Neurospora crassa OR74A: one gene and its partner. The protein of the gene in region 2 interacts with the protein of the main gene of each other region in a pairwise test. Links are inferred from orthologs where the notes say so. Each region holds a gene or a part of one and is shown on either strand. Other genes may lie near its edges. The genes, in order: NCU03246 and cot-1.

Region 1 (4,362 bases), on a different chromosome or scaffold from region 2:
AAACAGTATGCTGCATCTCGCTCGCTGAATGCTCCAAGTTTGCTTGCTGCCACTGAGAAACCCAAGACTCCCAAAGGCATAACCCTATGCTCTTGAACGCACCTTTTCTTTTTGTATCTCAAATGAATTATGAAGCCAATGAATCCGAGCTTTCGTTTGTAACACATCAAGTCAAGTATAATCTTTTGACTCATGAGAATAGGGTCACATCCCACTTATTTTACGCATTGCCGATACAGCGGCCGGACTGGTTGTCGAGTTCCCTATACTCCCAACTCGTCCACTCGTCTTTCGAACACCAGCTTCTCTGACGCTCCCAGGTGGATGGCGTTTCGCACTAGTGTTGCCTCGTATCTTGGTCAAAACTCCAGACGCGGAACTAGTGCGTGGAGCGTGGTCATGGGCCTTGATTCGTGCTGCGGCAGTACCAATGTTCTCGATATCGTTCGATGCATCATTATCCATGACTTGATAAACAGTCGTTTTCGTGGTAGCGGTTTGGTGGGTGACAGACCGTTCGGGGGGTTGTCCTGGTGAAGTTGGAGCAGCAGACTGTCTTCGCCGAGATCTTCGAAGATTCCATTCCTCCTCTGAACTCGGCCCTCTTGAGCTCTTGTGAACTGTGATCACCTCGGTTGTCACTTCTGTCATGGGAACGGGTTCTTCCTCCACAGTGGTCTGAATAGGTCCCCGGCCATATCCTTTCTGGCGATCTACTGCGCCCCGCTGCGTCTTCCTTGGCTGTCCTGGCGTAGGTGCGGGGAGGTAATCCTCTTGTACGCCGATATGATTGTCACGCGCCGACTCCCGATCGATCTCGCCTAGCGGTGTCCGAACTGATCCTCTGTTAGAGGGTGTGGACACGCCATTTTTGCTAGAGCTACGACCAAGACTCGTCTTCGACACGGCACGGACAGGGGTGCTGGGATGCGCTGTCCCGTTAGCCTGAGCGGCGGCGGCGGCAGCGGCTGCCATTTCTTTGCGCAGCCTCCGCTCAACCCGCTCCTCAATCCACCACTCCCGGAAGATGCCCTGGTTCAGATGTAACCAGTGCTGCTGAGGCCCTACGACCATGCCTGGGCGCATGAAGCGCATGTAGGCAATGACCTCGTTTGCTGTAAATCCATGTCGGTAGATCAGGTAGGCACCGATGAGGCAGCCTGTTCGGCCGAGGCCAGCTTTGCAATGAACAGCAATGCCCTTCTTCCTAGAGATGGTTTCATGGGCCATGCGGATGAATTTCCGTACGGTCGAAAGGGTAGGACATGTTCCGTCCTCAAAGATCATGTCGATGTGGTTGATTCCTAGGGCTTCAAAGTATGAGGGATTGTAGAGCTGCGAGTTCAGCCTGACGACAAGGCCGATGTCTCGCTCCGAGAAATGCCTGAGAACATTTTTGAAGGGCTGCGGCAGCGTAGGATGTGCGTCGACGGCGGCTAGGGTCTTTGGCAGAAGTGACCACTGCTCGGTCCCCTCGGGGGTGGGAGCAACCGGGGTATGCTGAGGAGAGGCAAATGCCAGGAAGTTGGGTGTAATCCAGTTGAAGTCGCCGTGCTCAACTCTCTCAAACTTTTCGTACTCGTCAAGGTCGAATGTCTCCAACACGCAGCAGCCTTCCTCCTTGGCCTTCCAAACGCCGTACACAACGTCCTGAACCGTGATGCCGTAGTCGGCCTGGCTGTAGCCGGCGTCTCTGAACGGCATTAGAGGGGGGTCAACCTGGGCGACCGGCGCAAGAGCTAGATGCGGAGGCCACGATTGGATCAAAACCATGTAGCAAGCTAGTAGACAAGAGGCATTGGCACGACCTAAGGTAACATTGGTCAGCAATCTTTGCTGTTCTCGAGGAGGCGGACTTAGATGACCTACTGCGTGGATCGGCCCTGCTCCAGAACACTACCGGCCTGTCTTTGTTCTCCTTGGCCCCAAGAATTTCGTGGAACTGCAGGGCGAAGCGGTAAAGGTGGCCGATGTGGAACGGGCCAAAATCGTGGTGGAAGGCATTGTATAGAAGAGTATCGTCGACAGTGAAGTAGTATGGCTTCTTACGCTCCGTGACCTGGTCGATTGTTCGTTGAGAGCGCTTGCGCGGGGACCGTGGTTCAGGATCCGGGTAGGGAAACAAGGTATGCTCGGTAGGAGGTTCAGAGTAAGATGCAAGGTACAATCGGTCTGTAAAGGTTAGTATACTGTAAGGCAATTGCTGATATTGTAGAGGATATTCAAAGGTGCTCATATTGGGACGAGCAGCTCCGTTGCGGAGCGGTGAACATGGGATGCGGGTGGATCATAAACATGGAGTTTTCGGACAACGGAGCCAGAAGCAAAACAAAAAAAAAATTGTAGCTTCAATTAAGAGGACCGGAGCGGCGCACAAATAATCTACACGTACCGGGAATGTACTCGATGATTTGCCCCAGATTGCTGGAGTGTCTGGAGGAAGGAGCCATGGCGTCGTGGCCTGGGAGGCTCAAAGTCGACTGTTTATGTCGAGAGAGCGATTGGCGTTGCGACAATGCGCAGGCGCACGTACGGGAATAGTGATGCTGTGCAATGCAATGAGCTACGTATAGGGAGGCGGGAGCGAAGGATGTTAAAGTCCAATTCGATCTTTTGTCGTTTGAGGGCTGTACTTGAGGTCGGCCAAAATTATGGTCGGATTGATTGACGGGAAGAAGGTGAGGTCGAGATCGCAGATCGTTTGCGCGAGCGATTGTGTGCCAACAAGGGAAAACCAAGCAGCCAAGCTGGGCTAGGTAGCTATACCGCGAGGCAAGGGACTGTGTACTGCACTGCAGGTGCGGGGTGGGATGAAAGGGCCAAAAACAAGGGCCAAAGCCTCCAAAGAAGGACGAGAGGACACCGGCTGCGAGAATGCAATTCTTGTAAAGAACGAAGGCACCGGAGGCAGGAGAATTGAAGAAACAAAGGAGTGGGCAACTCGATGATGATGTGCGAGAGGAGGAGGTCAGAAAAGACCGGTGGGTATGAGCTGGTTGCGGAGAACAGGTTTTGTAGCAGGTACGGCCTTTACCGGTACTTACCAAGAGCGGTGTTTTTGCTGGCAAGGTTGTATGTCGTGTGTGTATTGTCATTGGCAGGGACCCTGGCGAACCGGAGAACGAGCGAGACCTTCACCTCACCTTCCATGCAGAGACCGCCTCCAAGTCGCAACTGATCTTGCCCGACCGCTCTGCCTGCGCCCGGGGTTTAGCGTGGGCCAGCGAAGAATTCGGGGGGCTTGGTATCTTCCAAAACAATTCACCGCCCAATAAGCGCGTTCAAAGCTCCATCTCACCCGCCGTTGTCCTGACAACCTTCTCTCTTGGCATCCGCAGTCGCGCCTGGACCAGTAACATCCAATCGCTTCGCTCTGACGGGAGATCCCCCCCCAGAGCTCCACTTTCCAGCTGAGGTAGAGAGGGAGGTGTTGCCGGAGCTTGTCCTTTTTCTGTAAAGCCGCCATGATGCCTTTGCGCCCAGCACACGGCAACAACCGAATATCGAAACTCGTTCCCTGTTCAGCCAGCCTGCCGCCTACGACCTTGCGATAACTGTAGACGATAGTAACATCACTGCGGAATTGCCAGTGTGAGATACAGTTTGAGGTTCCTACAGAGTTTCCCACAAGGGCCTGTTATCGGTCATCACAGCCCAGGCACACTCGCGGCGGTTGGAATTTGACATTCGTCATCGGGTAGCGCTTACCACACAAACTCCCCTGACAACCGTTAGGCGAGTGCCAGTCTGAAACCCTTTGGTTCACGACAACATATTTCTTGCAAGTGTTTACTTCGGGGTTATTAAAGACCGCAACCATGGCAACCGACGATAACTTCCCCTGCTCGCTGTAGGTCATTTGTTTTTGATTGTTACTTCATTCCTTGTTCTGATATGTTTTGATCCTCTGTTTATTTTCCAATTTTTGAAATTTTTTTTTTTGATTTTTTTTTCAATTTTTCATCTTGTACCATTCGTCTCATGAGATCATCGTCACATCCTTGCTTCACTCAAACTCTGCATACCTTTCAAGATAATCGACACTAACACAGCAACCGACAAGAACACTCCGAGTGCCCTTCCCTGATGCTCGGTTAGCTTCTGTTGCCCTGCAGGCTTTGAGGGTGGACAAGGAGCTCTCCGGCCTCGTGAAGCGGGAACTTTCGACCGTTGCGTCTCCTGGCAGCGAACATGCTGGGGAGACGGTCCTGCAAGTCGACTACAAGGCCACCACAAACCGCATGCTGCGCGTTGCCGTGAATTCCTTTATGGACAGCCTAGCGTTGGTGTTGGAGGTGCAGGAGGAGATGGATGTGGATGTCATTGAGTCTGAGAAAGCCAGCATCTGAGGGCTGCTTGTGT
Region 2 (4,485 bases):
GCCCAGAAGATGCAGTCCATACATTATGTTTCTGTACTTATTCAGCCATATATGCGGAACGGAAAATTCGCGTACTATCAGCAAAGTGTCTCTGCCATCAGAAATTTCAACAGCACCGCGAGCTAGCAAAGACGTCAAAGCCAAGTATAAGGGGTACCCAGATACTGCCGCCCCGCAGCACAACCTCTTCTCCCTTTCGCCATCACTATTACGCCCCCTTCCTCCCCCCCAAGAAAACCAACGCTCATTATTCAGACAGCGAGAAGACGTAACGCAATTATCGGAAGTTGTTGTCGAAACGCTTGAACGTGTATCCAATGAAAGGCAAGCTGAGTTCTGGGCTCTCCTCCTGCTGCGCAGGGGCAGCGGCGCCCCTAGCGGCCTGCTGAGCCTTGAGCAGCGTGGCGTTATCCGTCTGGTCAATCTCGTCCGTAGGGAAGTATGTGGTATCGATGGCGGATGTAAGACGGGGCTCGAAGGGCGCACGGATGCGACGCAAGCTGTCGAACTCAACGCCGCGGAAGAAGGCGTGGCTCTTGATTTCGTGAGCACCACCACGGCCGAGACGGTTCTCAGTGTTGCAGATGAGGCTATGACAAGTCAATATGGTGAGCGCGTGATTTTGGGGGAAGTCAAAAGCATGCATACCTTCTGATAAGGTTCTCGGCATCTACACCAAGGGTGATGTCATCCGGGAAGTAAAGCGAGTGCCTCCAGTTCACGATCTTGCGGTAAGTGTCGTGGCTATCCTCGGCGCAGAAAGGAGGCCAGCCGACCAAGCACTCGAACATGATGGTACCCAAAGACCACCAATCGCAATCAAACGAGTAACCATGGCCAGTGAAGATTTCCGGAGCAATATAATCTGGTGTACCGACGGTCGAGTAGGCCATCAAACGTCTGGAGCGTCTCCAGTCATTGATCTGTGCACGGTTGCTGACCGTCAGGTTGATTTGGTCAATAGCAACCGAGTTGCGGTTGTCGCGCGGCTTGTTGGATTTGCCCTGGAGCAGTTGTGTGTAGTAGTTGTTATCATGGAGCTTGTGGAAGCCGGTAGAGAGACCGAAATCTGTAAGCTTGACATGACCACCCCTATCAAGAAGGATGTTGTCTGGCTTAATATCTCTGCATGCACAACCGTGTCAGTATCTCTTTTCCAGAGCATTGCTTCCGGCGAAGCTTACCTGTGAATGAAGCCCAGCTTATGGACCGCGTCGATAGCCAAGACGATTTCGGCAATGTAGAAACGGGTAATATCCTCCGAGAAGATTTCGTATTTGATCAGCATGGTCATCAAGTCACCACCGGGCAAGAACTCCATGAGCATGTAAAGGAAGTTCGCATCCTGGAAGGTGGTGTAGAGCTTGACAACCCATGGGCTGTCCGACTCGGCCAAGATATCTCTTTCTGCTCGGACGTGGGCAAGCTGGTCCTTCTTGAACATTTCCGTCTTGATAAGCGACTTCATGGCGTAAACCTTGCCGTCGGCCTTCTTCTGCACGAGCTTGACCTCGCCGAAAGCGCCCTTGCCGATGATCTTGATGGTCTGGTAGTTCTCGGGCTTGTCCTTGGTTCTCAGGAAGCGCAAATACTGGCCCTCCTTCCGGCCAGCGGTTGACCAGATCGATTCGCGACGGCGGGCATCGTTGGTCTCACCGAGCTTCTGCTCCATCTCGCTCTGTCTGAAAAGGGTGTCAGCACCGATCACGGCGGGATGTAGGGGCAAAAGCGCATCGCTGCAGCATTCACCTCTGGTTGCGCTCCCTGGCGCGCTTGACGCTGTCCTTAAAGAAGTCAGAGGCCAGCTGTGAGCACTTCTTCTGGTTGTTGTTGGCATTGGGGCCATATTTGTCGGGGTTCCGCTCGGGAGCGGGAGCGAACTCGGTCTGGGTATTCGAAGGCATCGGGGCGCTCAGATAGTTGCCGTAGGTTTGCTGCTGGCCAGAGTTTCCGGATGTGCGAGGGCGTTGAGCGGGAGATGGGCCACGAGAACCGTAGGGAGAGGCTCTTCCGGCGCTGCCAATGTTCTGATGGGCGAACTGGTGGGCGAGACCAGTGTTGGGGTCGTTGCTAGTACCGTCAATGTTAGAATGAGCTTGAACGAAGCCGTAGTCGGCGGCACCAGGAGGGGCGTAGTGGCTGGCATACTGGTTCTGTTGATAGTAGTTGCCGGACTGGGCGTAGGCCTGGTTGTACTGCTGGGAACCACCGGCTTGTTGACCTGGGAAGACGGGTTGGGGGAAGGTGGACGGGGTGGTGGGATAGGTACGATCGTTTGGAGCCATGCGGGTATCGTTGGTGCCCAGGTTGAGATGGGGGCGGTTGGTGTTGTCCATCTTGGTACCTTGTCTCTAAACGGTAAACAGTGGATTCCGGGTGTATGTAGCGGGAAGGGCGCAAGCGAGCTCAGACGAGATTCCGAGGGACGGCAGATGGAGAAACGATCAGAGTCGAGCTCCCAGACCGATCGATGGGATCTATGCGCACAGAAAGGGGTTTGTGTACAAGACGGGATAGGTATGGGGAGACGGGAGGAAAGGAGGTTGCTTTTTCTTGGGACCAGGGTCCAACGAGGATCGAACGACGGTTGGCTACTGTAGATGGTAGGGATGGGAATCGAGGGCGGCCAGGCTGGGGGGGCAGGTGGTTGAGTGGCACCGTCCGAAGTGGAAGTGTCCCGCTGGAACGTGCAGTCGATAGGCGCAGTGTGGAAGTGGAAGCAAAGTGGAAGCGTGACCGACGTGAGCCTCTCCAGCCTACCTACAGGAAGGAGTCTGACAGGAGAGCACTGGCTGGAGGCGATTCAGGGCGCTGTAATTCGGAGAACCTAGGTACGGACGAATCAGACAAACGGAAGGGAAGCAGGTGGGGCAGGGTCCCTGCGGTATCAGTATAAATAAAGACCTAGACGTATAGAGGTGACATGGAACCTAACAGATCCCATCTATAAGTGACCAAGACATAGACTGTGATGATATGAGACAGCCACGGGCGCATTCAAAGGACACCTTGAATAACAACAGACAACTAGGAGCATCTTTACGTTTCCGTTTTCTGTTGCCACAGGAAGCTGGCCTCGATGTGAATCTAGTACACGATGCCCAGGAATAAGGAGGTCGTAGAAAGAGGGGTTCCATGTTTGGGATGACATGCCCAGGTCCAGTGGTGAGCTCCAGGCCGAAACAGGACCACCTAACTATGGGGTGCCCTGGTCAACCTGAAAACCCCTGACTCCAACCTCATCGTCAGACGTCAACTCGTTGCTGTCTGTTCCGCACTGCTGCCATCTTCTCGTGCCTCACAAGCACACTATAGGTAAACCACCAGTCCCCCGAGTGTTGAAGCTCGACGCAACGGCATTGGACCTCGAGAGCATCGAGACTCTGGTCCGGGAATTTGTTACTGGCTGGGAGCGGGCACTCCCGGGTCTGCAATTGATCGAAGGGGCATCCTGGTGGAGCTGAAGGTGGGGTGAACACGCTTAGCGCCATCGACACCGCATCTTCCCTGGGTGCTCCTGTTCTTTCAGGGGTTGCAGCGTCTCGGAACAGTTGTGCCCATTGATCACGCAAGAGGTCATCATGATCGCTGACAGCACATGAAGCCCAAGTCGCCACGACCGAGTATACAATTGTCTACTGTAGAGACATCCTCTACGATGCTTCAGCAGAGAATCCAGGGAAAGTAAGAACACGGAACAGGTAGCCCGACTTATACAAGCTCAGGTACCCTTTGCAGACGCTTTTAGAACCTATAGTTCTGGCTCAGAAAGATGGAACCTGCTTCAATAGGGCTGACTAAATTCCCCAACTTATGAGAGTAAAGTCCAGACATGAGACTATCTTGGAACTCTCAAGATAAAATCTTGGGCCGTTCCAAGTCTGCGTGGTCTGCATTTATACACTAAAAGTTAATTCAAGTGTCACTGGCATGACGTGCGGTTGACCTTCGCATATGGCCCGTGCACAACCACTAAACGCGATGAAAGATGCAGGTGGGTGCCGCCGCGGGAATGGCTTATCGGCTTATCGCGATAAGAAAGTGTGTCCGGGAATTTTGGCAGTCGGGTGCTCCGCTGCACCGGCCCCAAGGTCCTCAACGGAGCTCCTACGGAGTCGCTGTCCGTAGTCCGTACAATCGTTACGGAATCCCGTCGTCCTCTTCAAGTTGTCTTCCAACTGTGACGCCCCCCGCGAGAACCACCCCCCGATCTCTCCCTACGATACCCCTCGCGCCGTCACAGTAAGCTGCATGCGCCCGTAATTGCGCAAACTCCATCACCACACGACATACATCAGAGTAATAGCATCAGCCGGCGCAACACTTTATACCATGGCCGACCCAGTACCCCCGGCGTCCACTGCGCCGCCTGCCGCTCCGGCTGCAACTACGGCTACAGTATGTTACACTTTGGCTCCTTCGCACTTCATCGTATTTCTGAATATTATGGCTCACATCACACCTAGCCTCCTCCTCCTCCTCCTC

The links.
Region 1: the proteins of cot-1 (region 2) and NCU03246 interact in binary tests that used the Saccharomyces cerevisiae proteins (3 or more experiments, as listed by UniProt). The link is inferred for Neurospora crassa OR74A from reciprocal best matches to the Saccharomyces cerevisiae genes CBK1 and CDC14.

What each region holds. Positions count from the first base shown.
Region 1 is NC_026501.1:5,041,763-5,046,124, reverse strand, and holds the start of NCU03246 (tyrosine-protein phosphatase CDC14), read right to left. Parts: upstream 2,997-4,362; 5' UTR 2,451-2,996; coding exon 2,393-2,450; intron 2,173-2,392; coding exon 1,870-2,172; intron 1,809-1,869; coding exon 205-1,808; 3' UTR 1-204. Other genes in the region: NCU03245 (hypothetical protein), read left to right, coding at 3,819-3,850, 4,064-4,349. UniProt on the Saccharomyces cerevisiae protein: Protein phosphatase which antagonizes mitotic cyclin-dependent kinase CDC28, the inactivation of which is essential for exit from mitosis. To access its substrates, is released from nucleolar sequestration during mitosis.
Region 2 is NC_026504.1:4,484,349-4,488,833, forward strand, and holds the start of cot-1 (serine/threonine-protein kinase orb6), read right to left. Parts: upstream 2,974-4,485; 5' UTR 2,337-2,973; coding exon 2,149-2,336; intron 2,071-2,148; coding exon 1,750-2,070; intron 1,683-1,749; coding exon 1,185-1,682; intron 1,126-1,184; coding exon 649-1,125; intron 591-648; coding exon 278-590; 3' UTR 1-277. Other genes in the region: tim54 (mitochondrial import inner membrane translocase subunit tim-54), read left to right, coding at 4,333-4,398, 4,467-4,485. UniProt on the Saccharomyces cerevisiae protein: Protein kinase that seems to play a role in the regulation of cell morphogenesis and proliferation.